2 linked regions of the Xenopus tropicalis genome follow. The protein of the gene in region 1 purifies or fractionates together with the protein of each later gene. This does not show direct contact. Links are inferred from orthologs where the notes say so. Each region holds a gene or a part of one and is shown in the gene's direction. Other genes may lie near its edges. The genes, in order: slc38a9 and lamtor4.

Region 1 (11,420 bases):
AAACATTCCTGGAAGAGCACTTTTCCTCTTGTATCTGTAGCATTGTATGTAAATCTGTGTGTTCAATATAAATACCTATTCATTATAAAGCTCTATGGAGTATGTTGCTGCTTAATTAATACATGATAAGTTGACTTTTTCAACTAATTTTGATGCCAGCAATGCTGGAGGTTTACTTTGCTGGGATGTGAGCCATCTGTTGAGTTGTGCTGAGAACTCGCCACATAAGAGTTTGGTCTTCACTTTTTATTATTTGTATTTTTAAAATTATTTAGCTTTCTGTTCTGCAGATCTTCATTTTGGAATTTCAGCAACTATCTGGTTGCTAGACCCCTACCAAAGCTAAGGAGAATAGTGGGAAAAAGCGAATGAATATAGAGAGGTTTTTGGCAACTAAGTATATGAGCCAATGTGTGAAGTTGAGTGAAAAGGAAAGTCTGGCTGGATGCATGGTTAGGTTTTTGGCTGGGAATACTTTACGAAAGTTTAGTTTGTTTTGTCCAGATATAAAAAAGCCAATTTGTTTTAACCTTCCTAGGTTTTATGTTAGGATAGAGCGTTGCATAAGAAGAAATGTGTTGAAAGATTTATCAGTTCAGGTATGGAAAGAAAGCAAAAAAGTTGTGTGTGAGCTTCAAAAGAAGGAAGAAATGGAAACTATTGGGGGTTTGAGTGAACAGCAATGCAGGAGTGTATGGAAAAATGTTAATAATAAAAATCTTGTAAACAGACAGATCTGGTGTGGATGGTAGTACATGGATGTATCCCGATCAGGTCTTTTCATGGGAAAAGGTGTCTGGTGGCGAGTGAGGTGTGCCCAAGGGGTGGATCCAAACAGATAGAAAATGTTTGGCATGTATTTTTTGAGTGTGGTTTTGCAAAAAGAGTATGGAGAGGATGGGGAAAATAATTGATGGTTTAACTGGGGTTCAGATGTTGATGGTTGAATTGATTATGTATGGACTATTACATTTAGAAAAAGGTAGCAAGAGTTTTATGGCTAATACTAAATTGTATTCAAGAGTTTTTGTGGGATGCCAGAAATCTTTTAGTTTTTAAAAATCATGAGATGGACTATAAAAAAGGGGAAAAAATGAGACCAATTAAAAATTACTAAGAATTGTCCATTCTACAACATAAAATATTACATTAAGGTGAACTACCACTACCAATAAGATATATTATTGGTATTTTGGAAATCTTGGAATATTATGATGCTGTATTAAGAGAACCACTAAAAGAGAAAAGTAAAGTACAGTCAAGAAAATAGAACTTGTCAACTCACTATGGAAAGTATGGATTCATGCAGCTTAGTGACCATTAAATACAAAATAATGTTTTATTATTACAGAGAAAAAGAAAATAGAGTTATGGAGAGATGGCCCTTCTGTAATACAGAGCTTTCCCAATAATGGGTTTTCAGATATGGCATCCTATACCTGTACTATGGTTTGGCCTTCTACCATCCACAGGTTTTTGTAATTTATGCACACCATTACTGAAGATGGCACTTTAAGCTACTGGGATATTTGCAGTCAAATTATTTTTCAACACACTTGCTGCCCAGATGCCTCATATCTGTTCCTTACTCTAAGGGGCACATTCATTGAAGCACGATGATCACGATTGCGAACAATTTGTATTTTTTTCTAACTTTTGGTACTCCGTTAAAATAGTACGACTTTTTTGTGATAAGTTCGTAATTACACGAAAAAGTCGTACTTTTCGAACTTTGCGCAACGACAACGAAAATTTCGGAATTCATTCAAGCTTTGGTATCGTGACTATCTTTTGGCCAGGTTGGAGCTGCAGAGTGCCAATGAGCCCTATGGGAGACTTTCCTTGGGCCGGGTTGGAGCTGCAGAGTGCCATTGAGTCCTATGGGAGACTTTCCTTGGGCCAGGTTGGAGCTGCAGAGTGCCATTGAGCCCTATGGGAGACTTTCCTTGGGCCAGGTTGGAGCTGCAGAGTGCCATTGAGCCCTATGGGAGACTTTCCTTGGGCCAGGTTGGAGCTGCAGAGTGCCATTGAGCCCTATGGGAGACTTTCCTTGGGCCAGGTTGGAGCTGTAGAGTGCCAATGAGCCCTATGGGAGACTTTCCTTGGGTGGGGTTGGAGCTGCAGAGTGCCATAGAGCCCTATGGGAGACTTTCCTTGGGCCGGGTTGGAGCTGCAGAGTGCCATTGAGTCCTATGGGAGACTTTCCTTGGGCCAGGTTGGAGCTGCAGAGTGCCATTGAGCCCTATGGGAGACTTTCCTTGGGCGGGGTTGGAGCTGCAGAGTGCCATAGAGCCCTATGGGAGACTTTCCTTGGGCTGGGTTGGAGCTGCAGAGTGCCATAGAGCCCTATGGGAGACTTTCCTTGGGCCAGGTTGGAGCTGCAGAGTGCCATTGAGCCCTATGGGAGACTTTCCTTGGGCCAGGTTGGAGCTGCAGAGTGCCATTGAGCTCTATGGGACACTTTCCTTGGGCCGGGTTGGAGCTGCAGAGTGCCATTGAGCCCTATGGGAGACTTTCCTTGGGCCAGGTTGGAGCTGCAGGGTGCCATTGAGCCCTATGGGAGACTTTCCTTGGGCCGGGTTGGAGCTGCAGAGTGCCATTGAGCCCTATGGGAGACTTTCCTTGGGCCGGGTTGGAGCTGCAGAGTGCCATTGAGCCCTATGGGAGACTTTCCTTGGGCCGGGTTGGAGCTGCAGAGTGCCATTGAGCCCTATGGGAGACTTTCCTTGGGCCGGGTTGGAGCTGCAGAGTGCCATTGAGCCCTATGGGAGACTTTCCTTGGGCCGGGTTGGAGCTGCAGAGTGCCATTGAGCCCTATGGGAGACTTTCCTTGGGCGGGGTTGGAGCTGCAGAGTGCCATAGAGCCCTATGGGAGACTTTCCTTGGGCTGGGTTGGAGCTGCAGAGTGCCATAGAGCCCTATGGGAGACTTTCCTTGGGCCAGGTTGGAGCTGCAGAGTGCCATTGAGCTCTATGGGAGACTTTCCTTGGGCCGGGTTGGAGCAGCAGAGTGCCATTGAGCCCTATGGGAGACTTTCCTTGGGCCGGGTTGGAGCAGCAGAGTGCCATTGAGCCCTATGGGAGACTTTCCTTGGGCCAGGTTGGAGCTGCAGAGTGCCATTGAGCCCTATGGGAGACTTTCCTTGGGCCAGGTTGGAGCTGCAGGGTGCCATTGAGCCCTATGGGAGACTTTCCTTGGGCCGGGTTGGAGCTGCAGAGTGCCATTGAGCCCTATGGGAGACTTTCCTTGGGCCGGGTTGGAGCTGCAGAGTGCCATTGAGCCCTATGGGAGACTTCCAAAATCATGCATTGAAGTTTCAAAGTCAGAAAGGTTTTTGCGCCGTTTACAATCGTTTGAATACGAAAATTTTGTAACTTTCGGATCGCAACCACGATATTTTCGTACGACCACGACATGAATTTTCACGCAATTTACACACATCAGAAATTATCATGGTTACTACGAAATTTTTCCAATCATGCTTTTAACAATCCAAAATTTGTGCTTTAACGAATGTCCCCCTAAGTGTGAAATTAGAAAGCGGGTGAGTTTTTTTAAATGAGCTCTATTTACTCCTATGGGATTTTTAGAAGCATAGTTATAAAATGGTGAACTTCAACCCTTTGATAAATATGCTTCTAAAAATCCCATAGGAGTGAATAGAAAGTGGGTGAGTTTTTCTGTAGGGAGCTGTAATTTCACACAAATGTAGCCCTATATGATGATTTTTAAAATGTAAATAGTAGTACTACTTGCAGAGGGTATGGGTAGCAGCCCCCATACAGCTGGTGAGAGCTATAAGAGACTCTGTAACATGCGCACTCAAATAATCAATAGCAAATCAAATACTTCTTTATTAAATCAGGATGTCAAAAGTTAAAAATCTTTAAAAACCAAAATGCTCCCCCATAATCTTGCATATACCCATAGCCTCCATAATGGAAACCCTGATGCAAGTTGTTATGCAGTATCATCATAGATAAATCACCAATCATATTATAACATATGTAGTGTAACAACAGCTCAGAAGCACCATCCTCCACAAGTATCGCATCTGAAGGCTTTGACCAAGGGATAATTGTGGTTTTTAAATGTTTTTATCTTTTGACATCTTATATATAATTTGTAGCTCACTTTTCTTTAATACAGATGTGCATTTTTTATTGATTATTGTAGTGTGCATGTTACAGGGTGTATTATAGCTTCCACCATTTGTATGGGTGCTGTTCTTTTCCTCGTTTCAATGACTTTAAACTGTGCGCCTAACCTTAATCAGAATATCAATGTAAATAGTATAGTGATATTATAAAAAACAATGAAATACACTGCAAAACTGTTACAACAATTCCTGCTGCTCTTTAAAGGAGAAGGAAAGTCCTTTTGGCATTTTACTGCCAATAGATTTGCCACATTAGTGCCACCTAGAACGCTATATTTATTCTGCAGAAAGCATTACTATACCTGAGTAAAGAGCCCTAGAAGCTCCCTCCAATAGCAGCTGCCATTTTAGCTTGGTCTTGGTAGCTTCCTGCTGCAGTTATAGCCACTGGAAGCTCAGATCACACATTCCTAAGGGAGGGGGAAGTGAGTTCTTATGCAAGAAACCCTGCAGCTATTCTGTGAGTGCTAATGGCTGTATTTACATAAACCTTTCTGATAAAGCTTACACCTCAGCCTCAGGCTGTAATCACTTACATTGTTTACCTGTTCACACCTCAGACATTGTATGCAGGGTCGGACTGGGGGGTAAAGGGCCCACCAGGGCTCCTGACCCAGGGGCCCCCGCCGGTCGCGTCCCCTAATTGCCCCCCAGGGGCCCCCCTGACCCCCCTCGCTGGGGGGAGCGCAGGCAAGGGCCAGGTCTGGGCCGCCAGGGCCCACTAGAGCTGGGGCCCACCAGGATTTTTCCCGGTATCCCGGCAGCCCAGTCCGACCCTGATTGTATGTACTGCCTGGCCTAGGCAGCATAGGGCAGGCAGAGTATGGCACACACAGGCAGCATAGGGCAGGGAGGGGAAACACACAGGCAGCACAGGGAAGGCAGAGTATGGCACACACAGGCAGCATAGGGCAGGGAGGGGAACACACAGGAAGCACAGGGAAGGCAGAGTATGGCACACACAGGCCGGGTAGGGAAGGCAGAGTATGGCACACACAGGCAGCATAGGGAAGGCAGAGTATGGCACACACAGGCAGCATAGGGCAGGCAGAGTATGACACACACATGCAGCATAGGGCAGGCAGAGTATGGCACACACAGGCAGCATAGGGCAGGCAGAGTATGGTACACACAGGCCGGGTAGGGAAGGCAGAGTATGGCACACACAGGCAGCATAGGGCAGGCAGAGTATGGTACACACAGGCCGGGTAGGGAAGGCAGAGTATGGCACACACAGGCAGCATAGGGCAGGCAGAGTATGGCACACACAGGCAGGGTAGGGAAGGCAGAGTATGGCACAAACAGGCCGGGTAGGGAAGGCAGAGTATGGCACACACAGTCATGGTATTAAGCTATTGCACAAGATAAAGCCTACAGCAATCCAATCCATTCCAAGCTGCTACCACAAAAAAATAGTTTTATTTAGTTGCTGTTTATATTTTTAATCAACTAGCAAATAATGAAATATAATTTTTTTTTTATATAAGCAATTTAAAAAATTAAACATCATAAAAATCATTCTGACAAACCAGCCTTACGGTTGCGCAACTATACAGTGAATCAACTGCAAAATAGCTTTTCCCTGTAATTTTTTCTTTGCGGTTTTTTGTCTTTTTTTGCGCCTGACATCCGGTAAGTCCTTGCAGTCAGTGACAAGCTCTTTCATCTGCAATTTTTCTTGCTTGTTTGGTTAAAAGAACGTCTCACTCAGCAGTAAGGCACTTCTTTCTTCACCAAAACAAGCGCGGACGTAGTGCAGCGATGCACTGTGGGTAATGTAGTTCGCTCCTGTGGGTTGTTTGCAGGAAATAAGGAGCGCTGGACTACATTCCCACCATGCTTGTCGCCTGTTACTGCCTAACCTAACTCAGCTGCGTCTTGTTTTGAAGCTTTCAGGGAAGTTGCAGGAGCATGGAAGCCGGTCGCTTGGTGTAGTGGAAGGTACATCATTTGTTACAGATTCACTTATGCTCTTGGCTTTACGCCGAATAAACCCAGCACTGCCGGGCACCAGGCGGGCCTAAAGAATACGAATGTCTGGTTAATTAATTAAGCGTTAACTTTGTATGGGAATGGCTATTTTGTCTGGTGGGGTTCGTAGATATATAGATATATCCCTGCAGCAAGAGTAGCGCTATTTACGTACAGCAGCGTTTCTGTGCAACCAGTTGTGAGTTAAAGTGTCCTGCCTTAGCCTTGCTTTTATGGCTCAGTGACTTACAACTTTTTTGGAAGGGGGGGGGGGGGTTAGACTTGTGGAATGAGGCCCGAATTCCTACAGCAGCAATTCCCTGACTGTGTGACCCATAGCAATGGCAAGGAGGGGGCTGGGGGCAGGTCCATTAGTCGATCGCACAGGTTAGAAAATTTGGGTCGTATAATGATGAAAATCTATGTATTTATTGTGTATCTGTGGAAATCCTTGGGTAACCTGCAGTGTATTTCTGAGACGTCGCTTTCGTACAATTGTTGTCTGCCAATAATTTTATGCGACTTTATCCTACAATTTCTGAATGTTAGTTTTAGATCATTGCATTGAACCATACGATCGACATCCGAACGTTTGTCTAAAGAAGGATGAAATCTTCTTGTATGACCGCCTTAAAGGGGAAGGAAAGGCTAAGTCACTTTGGGGGTGCTAAAATGTTAAGCACTCCCAAGTGACTTTAATCGCTTACCTCGTACCCCGGGCTGGTGCCCCTATTAGGAGAAAACCGCACCAGCCCGGGGCACCTGGGGCGATGTGCCATATCCTTCTGCCTTCGTTAAGCCTTGACTGTGAGTCCGGCGCATGCGCAGTAGAGTGAAAAGCCGACTTCTCTGTTAAAGTTCCACTATTCACTCTACTGCGCATGCGCGCGCGGCGAAGGAGGAAGCGATGCAGGTACCCCGGGCTGGTGCTGGTCTCTCCATACAGGGGCACCAGCCCGGGGTAAAAGGTAAGCGATTCAAGTCACTTGGGGGTGCCTAACATTTTGGCACCCCCAAGTGACTTAGCTTTTCCTTCTCCTTTAAGCAGGCCATTGGCCAAAAGTTAGGCCTGCAAAGGGTGCTTAAGGTGGCCAAAAATGGGCAGATTTCAGCTTCCGATTCAGATCCTTCAGATGGATTCCTTCTGCCGGTGTATGGGCATTCTCAACAGGCGTACCTGACCAGCCAGATCCCAATTGGGCAGGTTTGATTTTCCCATTGGATTGGGGACTGTATCGGCTTGTTGATGCCCACCTTGTGTGAGCATGTCGGAAGAAGATCCACTTGTTTGGCAAGGTCACCAAAGGGGTGGTTCACCTTTAAGTTAACTTTTAGTATATTATATAAAGACCAATTCTAAGCTAATTTTCAATTGGCCTTCTTTGTTTATTTTTTATAGTTTTTAAATTATTTGCCTTCTTCTTCTAACTCTTTGTAGCCTTCAAACAGGGGTCACTAACCCCCAGCAGCCTGAAAACTTGCTCCATGAGACTACAATTTTACTTTCTATTTTCTATCTACTTTCTATTTCTACTTTTTATAACTTGTATTCCTTGGTTGCTAAGGTAATTTAGACCCTAGCAACCAGATAGCTGCTGTATATTAGTGCATAGCATAGTTTTTATTACTGTTTATAATGAAAAAAGCATTATATTGCATACTTAGGCTAATGTCAGACCAGGCGTATGGAGTATATTTTCGGCAAGCTGAAAAACGCTTGCCGAAAATACCGACATACGCCTGGTCTAACATTAACTTAAGGTAGAAATGCTAATGGCAGATGCGGTTGATTCTCAGATGCAGATAAACATGGACCAAGAATTCATCTCTTCATTGGCATCAGCCTTTCCCTGTGCCAGCACCTTGAATCATTGCATGGGGCTGGGTGCAGGCACACGGAGTGGACTTTGGCACCAAACGCACAAGTATGCATTTCAGCACTAATATTTACTCGTGCCAGCACCTGGCTCTGGCACCAGCGTAGCGGCTGATTTTCACCCTGCGTTTATCTGCTGTCCAAGAATCAGCTCTATCTGGCATTAGTCTAAATGATAGGTCTTTCAGTAATTCAGTAAGCCCTACATTACAAGGTTTACAAGATGAATTTAGTGCATTTGGTGGACTTGTGAGTGTCCCTGAGATTTTGGGAGCTGGTGGCTTTCCGAAGTTTTTTATTGTAGGATTTAAGCCAATGCCATCCCATTTAACCCAGTTATGAGAATCTCTACTCTAAGGCTAGTGTCACACAGGGCTTATTGCTGAGGTCATCAGACTGGCTGATTTTTGGCCTGTAAAAAAAAAGTAAAAAGTACCTTTATTTGGTATTTGATTGAAAATATAAAGAGCAATATAAGCCCAAAACCAATTTTTGGCCTCTGCCCTCTACTGTGCCTGCATTCACAGGCACTGTATCAGCCTGGGTGCATACTCATGGATTTTGAGTATGCACAGAAATCTGAAATGTGGCTGCATCCAGGGCAAAGCAGTATTGTAATTGCAGATATGGGAGAGGGCAGAGGCTGTCAGATAGGTCCTGTTTGATACAAGCCTAAAGATACAGAGCCATTGCAAACTAGAAACCTGTATCCTTACAGCAGCTGGATCCCTTCTAGCAGCCAGCTCGCAAAAGACAAACCTTCCAGTGAAACATAAAATTACAGGGTAATTATAGGGTAAAACTTTTTATATATAACAAAAGTGTTGTAAACATGACACCTACGTTTAGTCTAAGGGCATTAGCACCTGGTAAGTTTTGTCACCGGAATGTAATCTACTTTAGCAGAAGTAAATACATTTGCATTAGGGACAGTTTTATTACGTGTGAGAGTTCACCACAGTAAAAGTTCCCCATTATCTGTTTATTCTTATGGGATTTTTAGAGGCATATTTATCAAATGGTGAACTCTAACTTTCAACCACTGCCAAATGCACCTCTTAAAATCCCATAGGAATGAATAGAGTGGGAGAGTTTTACTGTGGTGAGCTCTAATTTTACACTTATACTGATTTATCTGTGTGAATGTAAATGGCCAGTGGTAAAACATTTGAATCACATAAGCGATGGAAAATGCAGGAGAAGGTAGTTTTCAGGGCTTACATGATTCAGATGGTTTACCACAAGTGATTCACTCTGACACTAATGCAAAGGGATTTTTTTTTTTTTGCATTTTGTCACCCATGCTGGGGGAAGACTAATAACTTTCCCTATAACTTTTTGAATGGCTAACATGGGACATCACCTTTACTGAGTAGGATATACGCAGATTAATGCCAAACTGTTCCTGCTGCTCTGCCTGCATATAAATACAGGAGGAGAATAAAACAATCTACTCTGTGGTGTAAGTGTGCTGACAAGCAGTGGTCTAAGCTTGTGTGCACACACATGGAGCAGATTTTTGAGTAGTAATGCAAAACTATGCATTTTCACACCGACATCTGTCATGTTTGTGTACAGGCTGACACTGCAAATAGGAGTTGTCTTTTTCTCCTCTTGTGTTTATACGCAGGTGGAGTTACAGCCTGTTGTGGCCTTAGCCATATAGTAAAGGTAAAATAGATTGCAGCAACGAAAAACAAGTGATGATCTTAATGTTAAACCCTACAATGGGAATAAATGGTACTTTTAGTCAGAATAACTCTCATCCCTGCACCATAAACATAAAAGTCCATTGCCCCTGGTAAACTGCTACATTGGCAGGTATAGCACTGCCAGTAAAGTTGTTCACCTTCTAGTATGATGTAGAGTATGATTTGCAGTTGATCTTCATTTTTTTATTTTTTTTAATTATTTGACTTTTTTCCAGCAGCTCTCCTTTTTGGAATTTCAGTAGTTCATTGGTTGCCAGGGTTCAAAATTAGCAAGCAGGCAGTAGTTTGAAAGAGAGACAGGAATATGAATAGAGGAGGGCCTAAATAGAAAAATAAGTAATAAAAAGTAACAACAACAATAAAATTGTAAGCTTGCAAAGCAATAGTTTTTTGGCTGCTGGGGTCAGCTACCCCCTTTAGAAGCTGGAAAGAAGGCAAATGATTCAGAAACTATACAAAATAAATAATGAAGACAAATTGAAAAGTTGCTTAGAATTGGTAATTCTGTAACATACAAAAAGTTGCCTTAAAGGTGAACCACCCCTTTAAAGGGTATTCATGCATTTTAAAGTAATTGTAATGCCATTATCCTTTCCTTTTCCTTTATCTGTAATGTAAGTGTGTGCCTTATAGCCCAGTTTTAACTTGAATAACTTACTCCATGGCTACACAGCAACTTATTTATATAAACCCTTCACACTATGTTACACGCTGTGTTTTTATCCCATATTATTATGAAGTCCAATCAAGGCATAAAAGCACCAAATAATCACTGTAACATGCTTGTTGTAAAACACACACACATTACATGCTGATATCTGCCAAAATATGTCACAATGTGTTTTTACCACACATAAGATCTTGCCTGGATTGCTGGCATATTAAGGATGATTGCTTAATTTACGCGATCATTTCTTTCATTATATGACATTATTACATGGTAATATTACAGAATTCCCGCTATACCCTTTGTTCAGGTCCCTGCATTCACTTCAGGCATTTTGGTGGCTCATTATCAATATAATCATACAGTCCTCAAATATGCCTTTCTTCAAACAGTTTGTTTGCATTTTGTGTTATTATGTGCAGCAGCATGCATGCTGATGTTCATATTAATGTAATGAGGAGGTGGTTTGTGGGAAACATAAATAGGGCAGCAGAACAAATCACGGGCATTTTAGATACACCTAGCTGATATGTGTGTTAAAACGCTAATATCCTCCACAGCATTTTTCCATAATAATGTTGGTGTAATTCCATACAAATGCCAGGAGGCAACTTTGCGCGACTTCGGAATACGGAAGCGATGCAAAGGGCTTTCCTCTGGAGCATTTCGGAAGGGTTAGTCACCCGTGATAGCAGAGATCTGTCGTGGGCAACTGAACTTGGGATATCAGCCTTACTATTCATGTGTATATATATATATATATATATATATATATAATTTTTTTTTTTTTTTTTAAGCCTTTGTTGTCTTGTTTTATAGATCTGTCTATCGAACTGAGCCTGTAACAACAACAATGGACAGTGACCAGACACCTTTAATTAATCCTTCATTGTTTGAAGAATGTGCCCAGAATCATTTTGCTGCAACAGATCCTAGAAGCAGAAGGTAATGTATTTATGTGCTAATTGCAAATTATATCTAAAGGCTGAAGTGTTGCATAGGTATGGGATCCATTATCCTGAAACGCGTTACCCA
Region 2 (11,377 bases), on another chromosome or scaffold:
GGAGTCACAGAGCCAGGAAGTGATGCTACCGGCAGGAAGGGAGCGCAGGGAGTCACAGAGCCAGGAAGTGATGCTATAAGTGTTTAGCAGCAGGAAGGGAGCGCAGGGAGTCACAGAGCCAGGAAGTGATGCTACCGGCAGGAAGGGAGCGCAGGGAGTCACAGAGCCAGGAAGTGATGCTACCGGCAGGAAGGGAGCGCAGGGAGTCACAGAGCCAGGAAGTGATGCTACCGGCAGGAAGGGAGCGCAGGGAGTCACAGAGCCAGGAAGTGATGCTACCGGCAGGAAGGGAGCGCAGGGAGTCACAGAGCCAGGAAGTGATGCTATAAGTGTTTAGCAGCAGGAAGGGAGCGCAGGGAGTCACAGAGCCAGGAAGTGATGCTACCGGCAGGAAGGGAGCGCAGGGAGTCACAGAGCCAGGAAGTGATGCTACCGGCAGGAAGGGAGCGCAGGGAGTCACAGAGCCAGGAAGTGATGCTACCGGCAGGAAGGGAGCACAGGGAGTCACAGAGCCAGGAAGTGATGCTACCGGCAGGAAAGGAGTGCAGGGAGTCACAGAGCCAGGAAGTGATGCTAGCAGCAGGAAGGGAGCGCAGGGAGTCACAGAGCCAGGAAGTGATGCTACCGGCAGGAAGGGAGCACAGGGAGTCACAGAGCCAGGAAGTGATGCTACCGGCAGGAAAGGAGTGCAGGGAGTCACAGAGCCAGGAAGTGATGCTAGCAGCAGGAAGGGAGCGCAGGGAGTCACAGAGCCAGGAAGTGATGCTAGCAGCAGGAAGGGAGCGCAGGGAGTCACAGAGCCAGGAAGTGATGCTACCGGCAGGAAGGGAGCACAGGGAGTCACAGAGCCAGGAAGTGATGCTACCGGCAGGAAAGGAGTGCAGGGAGTCACTGAGCCAGGAAGTGATGCTAGCAGCAGGAAGGGAGCGCAGGGAGTCACAGAGCCAGGAAGTGATGCTACCGGCAGGAAGGGAGCACAGGGAGTCACAGAGCCAGGAAGTGATGCTACCGGCAGGAAGGGAGCGCAGGGAGTCACAGAGCCAGGAAGTGATGCTACCGGCAGGAAAGGAGTGCAGGGAGTCACAGAGCCAGGAAGTGATGCTAGCAGCAGGAAGGGAGCGCAGGGAGTCACAGAGCCAGGAAGTGATGCTACCGGCAGGAAGGGAGCGCAGGGAGTCACAGAGCCAGGAAGTGATGCTACCGGCAGGAAGGGAGCGCAGGGAGTCACAGAGCCAGGAAGTGATGCTACCAGCAGGAAAGGAGTGCAGGGAGTCACAGAGCCAGGAAGTGATGCTACCTATGAGAAGGAAGTAGTGTTGAGTGAATGGGTTAATATGCAATTAATCAGACTACTCTCTTCCTCAGGCAATGTGTGGGTATATTCTCTGTATCAGGAACCTTGGGACTCTCCAGAATCCCCCAAACGATGTAACCGCGTCCTGTACCTGTACGCCTTCTGGGTCATCACAGCAGTGTACATCTTTGCCGGCGTTGTGGTTATCCTTTATATGTGCGCCCTGTTCTGCCTCGCTCTAGTGGGGGCCTATGTTGCTGCCAGAACCCATGCAGATGCATAACTAAATCAGGTGCTGATTGGATGTGGCCTTTACACCCCTCTGGGGTAACTCAGCATCATCATATCTTTATCCTTTATATCGTTTTAGTCATGTTATATCTGAAATACTCAGCAGCCAGAAATGCAGGACTGTTACTCTTGCAACAAAAGTGTTAAATGGGGGGAGCGCTCAAACTGTAAAATGAATGGAATCTATGGCGAATCCAGATTTATTCAACATCGCACTGTATATTACACTTATTGTTAGTATCAGGTTGGCCTTAACCTTGTTTCTTATCTGTAAATGTTACGGAGACTTTCACCTTATCTGTTCCACTTAATTACTTTAGTGCACTGTTGCACTTACTTTAGTGCAGCCACGGCTCAGGGAGGGCCCTTATCTACCCTGTTAGACGCTCCAGGCGGATTCGTATTTGCTGGCAATGAAATAATAAATCTGAATTCCATCGGGTATGCTTCTTTTATTATACTAAATACTATTTATACTTACTGAAAGGCAGCACTTTTAGATAGGGTCCCTCTATTGTGGAACAAAAAATGGCCAAATGAAATGGTCTCTGCTGTGGGAACTAAAAGGAAACACATACATATATTCAGGGTCATATTTATATAGGCACCCAAGGGACTGTGCCCAGGGCAGCAGCTTTGGGTGCCTATATAATCAACAAACCTGCCCCAGCCGCTGCCAGACCTACCAGTGGAAATCCAGCGGCCACCTAAATACTTCCCTGCATATATTCATGGGTACCAAGGCACAGAGGCGCAAGCTGGGATTGGCCAGAACACTAGAGGCCTCTCAGGCCTATCAGAGAACTCCAGGCAGGCCGAGGCTAAGATTCCTATCGATATCACTAATAGTCAGAGGTAAAGACTGGCAGTGGTGTTTCTAGAGTATGAGGACATTCACATGGCTAGACCCACCTATAGCCAATAAGAGTATAAGGACGTTCAAATGGCTAGACCCAACTATAGCCAATCAGAGTATAAGGACATTCAAATGGATAGACCCACCTATAGCCAATCAGAGTATGAGGACATTCACATGGCTAGACCAACCTATAGCCAATCAGAGTATGAGGACAATTCACATGGCTAGACCAACCTATAGCCAATCAGAGTATCAGGACATTCACATGGCTAGACCCACCTATAGCCAGTCAGAGTATGAAGACATTCGCATGGCTAGACCCACCTATAGCCAATCAGAGTATGAGGACATTCGCATGGCTAGACCCACCTATAGCCAATCAGAGTATGAAGACATTCACATGACTAGACCAACCTATAGCCAATCAGAGTATAAGGACATTCACATGACTAGACCAACCTATAGCCAATCAGAGTATGAGGACATTCACATGGCTAGACCCACCTATAGCCAATCAGAGTATGAGGACATTCACATGGCTAGACCCACCTATAGCCAATCAGAGTATGAGAACATTCACATGGCTAGACCCACCTATAGCCAATGAGAGTATGAAGACATTCTCATGGCTAGACCCACCTATAGCCAATCAGAGTATGAGAACATTTACATGGCTAGACCCACCTATAGCCAATCAGAGTATGAAGACATTCGCATGGCTAGACCCACCTATAGCCAATCAGAGTATGAGGACATTCACATGGCTAGACCCACCTATAGCCAATCAGAGTATGAGGACATTCACATGGCTAGACCCACCTATAGCCAATCAGAGTATGAGAACATTTACATGGCTAGACCCACCTATAGCCAATCAGAGTATGAAGACATTCGCATGGCTAGACCCACCTATAGCCAATCAGAGTATAAGGACATTCACATGACTAGACCCACCTATAGCCAATCAGAGTATGAGGACATTCAGCAAGCCAAATAAGGCTGTAGCCAATCGGTGCATTTAATGTTTACAGGGCTAGATCAACCTGTAGCCAATCAGAGCAGTAGACTATTTGACTATGATCTATGGGTTCCGGTATACAGCTTGTTGCCACTCACTGGGCTAAATCAAAATGTATGTTTGCTGTACACAGATGCCATGGACTATCCTGGATGGTGCTGTTCCCATATAGGAAGCTTCTGGGCCGTATAAACGTTTCCTACTCCCTACTGACACATGGGTGCAACTCATGAGTAACAAGTTTTATGATTAGGCGCTTTGGGTTCCTAGCAGATGGGCGATTCCTTTATGATCTGCAATAGGAATGCCCAGTGTTGGCTGCACCGGATTTTATAGCACAGCCAAGCCTTAAAGGAGTGGCTCCTCTTCCTGACGTGCATAGAGGTGATATTGTTTGGGGGTGTTCCTGGCTCTCTATAATTACTCCCAGGCAGCAGCGGCCTAACACTGCTTGGCTCTGTCATGTTACCCCACTGGGCAACAGCCATAACAAAATGGGGAGGTGGGGAGGAGCTCTTTCATGTACAGACACACGGACTGGCTGAGAGGGGGACGAGGAAGGGTAATGAGAAATGAGAAAGAATTAGAAATAATTGGTCAGAATGATCATTTCATATATACTTATGTGCAGCAGTGTGGCACAGCCACATGTAATCTATATACAGTGTGTGTGTTTATATATATATATATATATATATCTCCCCCTCACACATTTCTCACATTATTGTGTCTGAGGAGAAAATCTTTCACCAAACTCTCTATAAACACTACAACACATAATATTTCTAGACTAAAAATGCTTAGAACGTCACTGGCCGCTTCCAGTTATTACAACACTCTTACAAAGACATTTCACAACTAATGTGGCAAGGCGCTTTGGCGCTGGTTTTGAGCATGTGAAGGTCCCGCCTTATCGTTGCTAAGCGGTATCACTGACGTCCTATTCGCCGGCAGAAGAAAAGTAAAGCCAATCAAACTAACAATAGCGCCCCTGAATTTTAGATTGACATGCAGTTGAACCAATCGGAAAAAAGCATAAGATCATGTGAGTAAGCACCCCTGCCAAACAAAGAGGCGTGCTATAGTTTTACATGACAAAACCAGCTAGCGAATCGCTGTGGTTAGACGTGTGATTGATGGCTGCTAGAACCAGTAGCAAGGGTGGAAAGGCGATGCCGGAAGAAGGAGCGTACTAGCGGTGCTGCCGGAGGGAAGTTGCAGAGATGGTGAGTGGTTGATTGTATGAAGGGAAGAGCGGGGTGTGTGAGGCTTATGGGGGCGGCTGCAATCGGCACTAATGTTCTGCAATGTGGGGCTGTATGTATGGCGCCAGTGTCAGACTGCAGGGGCTTGGGATCAGTAGGTTGCTGCACTACATCAGCCTCCGGGACTTCAGCGCTTCGGGATACGCCCCCCCCGCACGGCTTGTCCGGGACTCGAACCCAATAGCAGCCAATCAGAAGCTTGGTATTATTATTTCTAAACTCCTAACCTTGATTGGCTGCGGTGTGTTAGTTGAATCAGGAAATCTTCGCCCCTATAAGGCAATATTGTGTGTGTGTGTGTGTAGGGCCGCCATCAGAAATCACGGGGCCCCTCACAATAAACTTTTCTGGGCCCCCCTCCTCCCAATGGCCCCTCCGCCAGTGACCACTCCCATCAGTACAAAGGACACACATACATTGGTAGCCAGCCCAGGGCCCCCTAAAACATTGCTGCCCCCCCCCAGTGTCCTCATACTATGACCCACCCCGCTGATTCCTGCTCCCCTACTTCCTCCAGTTTCCCCAACCATCCTCCAGCTCCCCCCCAGCATCCTCCAACTCCCCCCCTAGCATCCTCCAGCTCCCCCCTAGCATCCTCCAGCTCCCCCCAGCATCCTCCAGCTCCCCCCAGCATCCTCCAACTCCCCCCCTAGCATCCTCCAGCTCCCCCCAGCATCCTCCAACTCCCCCCCTAGCATCCTCCAGCTCCCCGCCTAGCATCCTCCAGCTCCCCCCTAGCATCCTCCAGCTCCCCCCCTAGCATCCTCCAGCTCCCCCCAACCATCCTCCAGCTCCCCCCCAGCATCCTCCAGCTCCCCCCCTAGCATCCTCCAACTCCCCCCCCTAGCATCCTCCAGCTCCCCCCAGCATCCTCCAGCTCCCCCCCAGCATCCTCCAACTCCCCCCCTAGCATCCTCCAACTCCCCCCCTAGCATCCTCCAACTCCCCCCCTAGCATCCTCCAACTCCCCCCTAGCATCCTCCAACTCCCCCCAACCATCCTCCAGCTCCCCCCCAACCATCCTCCAGCTCCCCCCCAACCATCCTCCAACTCCCCCCCCCCTAGCATCCTCCAGCTCCCCCCCAGCATCCTCCAACTTCCCCCCTAGCATCCTTCAGCTCCCTCCCAGCATCCTCCAACTCCCCCCTAGCATCCTTCAGCTCCCTCCCAGCATCCTCCAACTCCCCCCCTAGCATCCTTCAGCTCCCTCCCAGCATCCTCCAACTCCCCCCCCTAGCATCCTTCAGCTCCCTCCCAGCATCCTCCAACTCCCCCCCCCCTAGCATCCTTCAGCTCCCTCCCAGCATCCTCCAACTCCCCCCCTAGCATCCTTCAGCTCCCTCCCAGCATCCTCCAACTCCCCCCCCTAGCATCCTTCAGCTCCCTCCCAGCATCCTCCAGCTCCACCCTAGCATCTTCCCCAGCTTCCCCCCCCTCATTCACAGTGCCCCCTAATGCTATGCTGGCCAGGGCCCCCATACACAGTGCCCCCTAATGCTATGCTGGCCAGGACCCCCCATACACAGTGCCCCCTAATGCTATGCTGGCCAGGGCCCCCCATACACAGTGCCCCCTAATGCTATGCTGGCCAGGGCCCCCCATACACAGTGCCCCTAATGCTATGCTGGCCAGGGCCCCCATACACAGTGCCCCCTAATGCTATGCTGGCCAGGGCCCCATACACAGTGCCCCCTAATGCTATGCTGGCCAGGGCCTCACATACAGTGCCCCATAAGGCTGTGCTGGCCAGGGCCCCCCATACACAGTGCCCCCTAATGCTATGCTGGCCAGGGCCCCCCATACACCAGTGCCCCTAAGGCTATGCTGGCCAGGGCCCCCCATACACAGTGCCCCCTAATGCTATGCTGGCCAGGGCCCCCCATACACAGTGCCCCTAATGCTATGCTGGCCAGGGCCCCCCATACACAGTGCCCCCTAATGCTATGCTGGCCAGGGCCCCCCATACACAGTGCCCCCTAAGGCTATGCTGGCCAGGGCCCCCCATACACAGTGCCCCCTAAGGCTGTGCTGGCCAGGGCCCCCCATACATAGTGCCCCCAATTTCCCCAATACACAGTGCCCCTAACGCTATGCTGGCCAGGGCCCCCCATACACAGTGCCCCCTAACGCTTTGCTGGCCAGGGCATCCCATTGACAGTGCCCCGTAACGCTATGCTGACCAGGGCCCCAGTTGCCCCATAGACAGTGCCCCCAGTTGCCCCATAGACAGTGCCCCCAATTGCCCCCATAGACAGTGCCTCCAATAGCCCCCATAGACAGTGCCTCCAATAGCCCCCATAGACTTTGCCCCCATAAACAGTGCCCCCAATTGCCCCATAGAAAGTGCCCTCCGAAGTCAGCGTCTTCTTCTGCAGCTTCTTCTTCAGCGACGACTTCGGGCTCCTCGAGACAGGCCCTTTTATAAGGTTAGGTACTGATGTCACACATGTACGCATGGGGCGCGACCAATCGGATGACAGGGCCCGTAAGAAATTAAATGGGGCACGAGCCAGTCAGAAAACTGTAGCACGGCCGGGCCGCCCTTTAAAAGTGAAGATTGGCCAGGTACTGTGCCCCCCTGATGGCGGCCCTAATAACAGTAATGATCCAGGCCTTCAAAGTTGCCCCCAGCAGCTCCCCATCTTGGATCTGGTTAGGCACCTTGTGTGTGCCAGTGGCACTGCACGTGCTCCGTGGGCTCTGGGCTGCTGCTTAGGGGTCGTGGGGAATCATCACACTATTAAGCTGGTGCTACAGCACTATCAAGTCTGATGCAGACTGCACTGATTTCTATGCCGCCATGTAATGTGAATCTGAATTCATTACTAAATCGCGAAGTGACAGCAGGGCAAACTTGGTGCCTTTATTAATGTTTAAAGAAGCTGTTAGTGGGGTTTAGGGGGTAACTTGCATACATTGGGGTACAGTAACCAGTCTTTCTCCTGTTCCTCCTCAGACCTCCACCATGACGCAGGGCCTGGAGCGGATCCCAGACCAGATGGGGTATCTGGTAATGAGCGAGGATGGAGGGGTGCTGGCGGTAAGGCAATATAACCCTTTGATGTTGTTAAACTACTACTCCCACCGCCACACACTGTCAGGGCATTCTGGGAGTTATCTGATTTATCATTTTCTCTCCTCGTGCCATGTTACCATGACAACCACTGAAATGGGGGACCTTTTTGTGTCCTTACAGAGCGCCGGTGATTTGGAGAATGACGAACGCCTGGCGGGAGTGATCAGGGAGATGGTGGCCGTAGCGTGCTCCTTCCGGGATCTCGGGGACCAGCAGCCATTCAAACGCATGAGTAGTAAGAACGGGGGGGGGAGCGATAGGAGAGATGGGCACACAGCGGGGCATGTACTGGGGTACACTATAATGTCTGCTCAGGGATTTCCTGACTCCGCCCCATCCCTCCCAACCAACCAAAACTGGTGTTTCTATAAGGGGCGGGTATGGGCTGGGGTAAACAGAGCAGTATGGGAGAATTTGCCCTAATCGAGGGGCTGGGGGAGTCCTGATGGAGCTTTGAAGTCCAACTCATTCCTTTGCCCCCCTTTTCCCCTCGCAGTCGTATTTGGGGAGCACACGTTTCTCGTCACCATTTCCGGACAGAAGATCTACGTGGTGAAGCGGCAGAACGTGGTGCGGGAGCCAATCAGTGTCTAGCAAAGCCTCACCCTCCATTCTCGTGCCCAATATGAAGTGACTGTACTACACGGCCTATTTAATGACCCCCCCACTGTTGCCCTAGCAACCTTTTCCGCAGGATCGAATGTTCCAGCTCTCTGCTGCGGGTTACACGGGGGGCTTCCCATCCCCTAATAAATATATATATTGTTGGTACTGCCTGGGTCGGGCCTGCCTCTCTCATTCCTTAGGGTCGCATTAAAGGACAAGTCAAACCCAAAATGCCCTTTTATATGTGCAGTGCTTTAATGGCTGCTGTGCTCTGTCCCGTCTACTTCAGCTTCAGCTCCCCCCTGGTCCCCCATAACCTATCCCTATGGGGAATACCTGACACCACACCCCCTTGTTTCTTTTTAGAGTAGAAATGGTTTTTGTAAAGAAAACGTGGGGATGATAGTATGTTCCAAAGGGCGTATCCCTTTAAATTCACCTTGTTGGATGTGGGAATCCCAGGCTGCCCCACCCAAGATGGTGGAACAATGAATGGGGGATGCTCTCTCCTACCAACATGGCACCTATGGATTTAATACAGGAAATAAGCCCCTGCCAGTTTTTTGCCGATGTGGTGTAAATAGGACTCCTCCCACATCCAACCCACTGTATAATGACGAGGAGCAGCCATGCAGGGCCGCCCACAGGGGGGAGTTTTCCCAGGCACGGGCGATCCTCGTTCTTTAAAGGGGGCCCGGTCGTGATACAGTTTTACTAGCTCGGGCCCCCTTTAAAGAATTACGGGCCCTGATTGGTTGCGTGTGACGTCAGTAAGCACGGGGCGCAACCGGATAAAAGTGTGGGATGCAGCTGAAGGATGGAGGAAGCAGGAGGTCGCTGGGGGGAGCTACAGGAAGCTGTAGGTCGCTGGGGGGAGCCACAGGAAGCTGTAGGTTGCTGGGGGGTGGGGGGACCTGGAGGATGTTGGGGAGGATGCTAAGGGGGGAACCTGAAGGATACTGCGGGGGGGGGGAGCTGTGGAGGGAGGACGCTGGAGGATGTTAGGGAGGATGCTGGGGGGAGGACCTCCAGCGTCCTTCCCCCCAGCATCCATCCTAGCATGTTAAGGAGAATGCTGGGGGAGCTGGAGGATGTTTGGGGGAGGACGCTGGAGGATGTTGGGGAGGATGCTGGGGGGAGCCACAGGAAACTGTAGGTCGCTGGGGGAGGGGGGAGCTGGAGGATGCTAAGTTGGGAACCTGGAGGATAATGAGGGGGGAGCTGGAGGGAGGATGCTGGAGGATGTTAAGAGGGATCCTGGGGGGAGCTGGAGGATGTTGGGATGGATGCTGGGGGGGGGAGCGGGAGGATGCTGGTGGAAGGACGCTGGAGGATGCTAAGGTGAGGTGGGAACCTGGAGGATACTGAGGGGGGATGCGGGGGGGGAGCTGGAGGGAGGATGCTGGAGGATATTAGGGAGGATGCTGGGATGGATGCTGGAGGATGTTAGGGAGGATCCTGGGGGGAGCTAAAGGATGCTGGGGGGAGGACGCTGGAGGATGTTGGGAAGGATGCTGGAGGACATGTGGGGGAGCAGGAAGCAGCGGGGAGTGGGCTATAGTATGAGGACACTGGGGGAGGACCATCAATGTTTTAGGGGGCCCTGGACTGGCTAGCAATGTTTTAGGGGGTCGCTGCCCTAGCACCAATGCAAAATGTAATCCCTGGCTACCAAAGCCTGTGTGTCCTTCCTACTGATGGGAGGGGGCAGGGTGTGGGAGGAGGGGGCCCAGAAAACTTTGTTGTGAGGGGCCCCGTGATTTCTGATGGCGGCCCTGCAGCCATGGATATAGTATACACAGTGGGGCAGAAAGAGAGACTTCACTGACGCTCGTTTCCTTTAAACCTCTGTATTTTTTTTTTGCCTTTGTTCAAAATAAATTAGAGACATTTATTAAAACATAAAGTGCGCGGCCGTAACACAGGGCAACACATAAGAAACAACATATAAAAACTTATAAAACTCCCAGTGTCTGCGGTTTGTGGGTCACAGAAAGCGCTCAAGTATCGGCAGGAAAGGTGGAGTGGTCAAGTGCGGGGGGGTGGGGGGCTCCTCTGCCCCCCGATATTGGCAAATGGTACAATACGTGCAGCAGTAATTCAAGTTTCAGGCGAGGATATTCCAGTTACAGCCCAATATATATATATATATAATATCAGTAACTCGACCCGGTGCGACAGGAGCGACGTGGCCCCCCACTTTCCATAATAAGGATTATTCAGTAGTCATTGTAATAGGGGGGTGTATCCTTTGGTCACGGACATAAATACCTTTACTTACCCCCCTATGTCTATTATTACAGCAGGACAGTGGCCAATGACTCAGGGGCATTATCCTATGTATGGTGGGCGGGTATTATCCTATGTATGGCAGCTCCCACCGAGTGATCCTGAGCATCGGCCTTTCCATCTCTTCTTATAAATTAAAATACTTGAACCTCTTTTGGTTACGTACCCAATGAAATGTCAAAAAATGTAAACATTATTATGGAAAGGAAAGAAAAAAATAGCTTGTAAGAGAAAGGGGGAGTGGCCAAGGGTTGGGCTAACAGCAGCCCCGCCTCCCTTTCTCTTATTCCCCCGGTGTATACATCAGTAGTATATAAGAATCCCGACTGCTGGCCCATCCTCCTCCTCAGTCCTAGGTGCCCCAGTCCGTACCCCAAATTCTCTGTTCCAGTCCGGTCTCCCATTGGCTCGTCTCCGCCCCGGTGAATGCTGGGTGTCACTGAACGGGGTGCACGACTAGTACCTTGCATTGGCGTTTTGCAATTTTATCCAATGACAGCGCTGCTCTCTCTGGGGGCAGATAGAGGGGTCTGCCCAGGGGGGAACCTACCGGGGGCGTTATTGCACGGCGCTCCATTACACTGCCAGTCCTATGGGGGCAAAGACACAAACTGTTAGTATGATGTAGACAGAGCTATTCTAACACAATTTGCAATTGGTCTTCATTTTTTATTATTGG

Evidence for each region.
Region 2: the proteins of slc38a9 (region 1) and lamtor4 purify together in Homo sapiens (affinity purification with mass spectrometry; 4 studies listed by BioGRID and IntAct, with this or other methods). This does not show direct contact. The link is inferred for Xenopus tropicalis from reciprocal best matches to the Homo sapiens genes SLC38A9 and LAMTOR4.

Annotation. Positions count from the first base shown.
Region 1 is NC_030677.2:191,427,410-191,438,829, forward strand, and holds the start of slc38a9 (sodium-coupled neutral amino acid transporter 9), read left to right. Parts: upstream 1-6,048; 5' UTR 6,049-6,100; intron 6,101-11,204; 5' UTR 11,205-11,238; coding exon 11,239-11,330; intron 11,331-11,420.
Region 2 is NC_030679.2:143,861,593-143,872,969, forward strand, and holds lamtor4 (ragulator complex protein LAMTOR4), read left to right. Parts: upstream 1-4,647; 5' UTR 4,648-4,685; coding exon 4,686-4,688; intron 4,689-4,720; exon of another isoform or gene 4,721-4,929; intron 4,930-7,683; coding exon 7,684-7,767; intron 7,768-7,923; coding exon 7,924-8,038; intron 8,039-8,299; coding exon 8,300-8,397; 3' UTR 8,398-8,579; downstream 8,580-11,377. Other genes in the region: uncharacterized protein LOC733758, read left to right, coding at 1,366-1,577; map11 (uncharacterized protein C7orf43 homolog), read right to left, coding at 11,135-11,288. UniProt on the Homo sapiens protein: As part of the Ragulator complex it is involved in amino acid sensing and activation of mTORC1, a signaling complex promoting cell growth in response to growth factors, energy levels, and amino acids.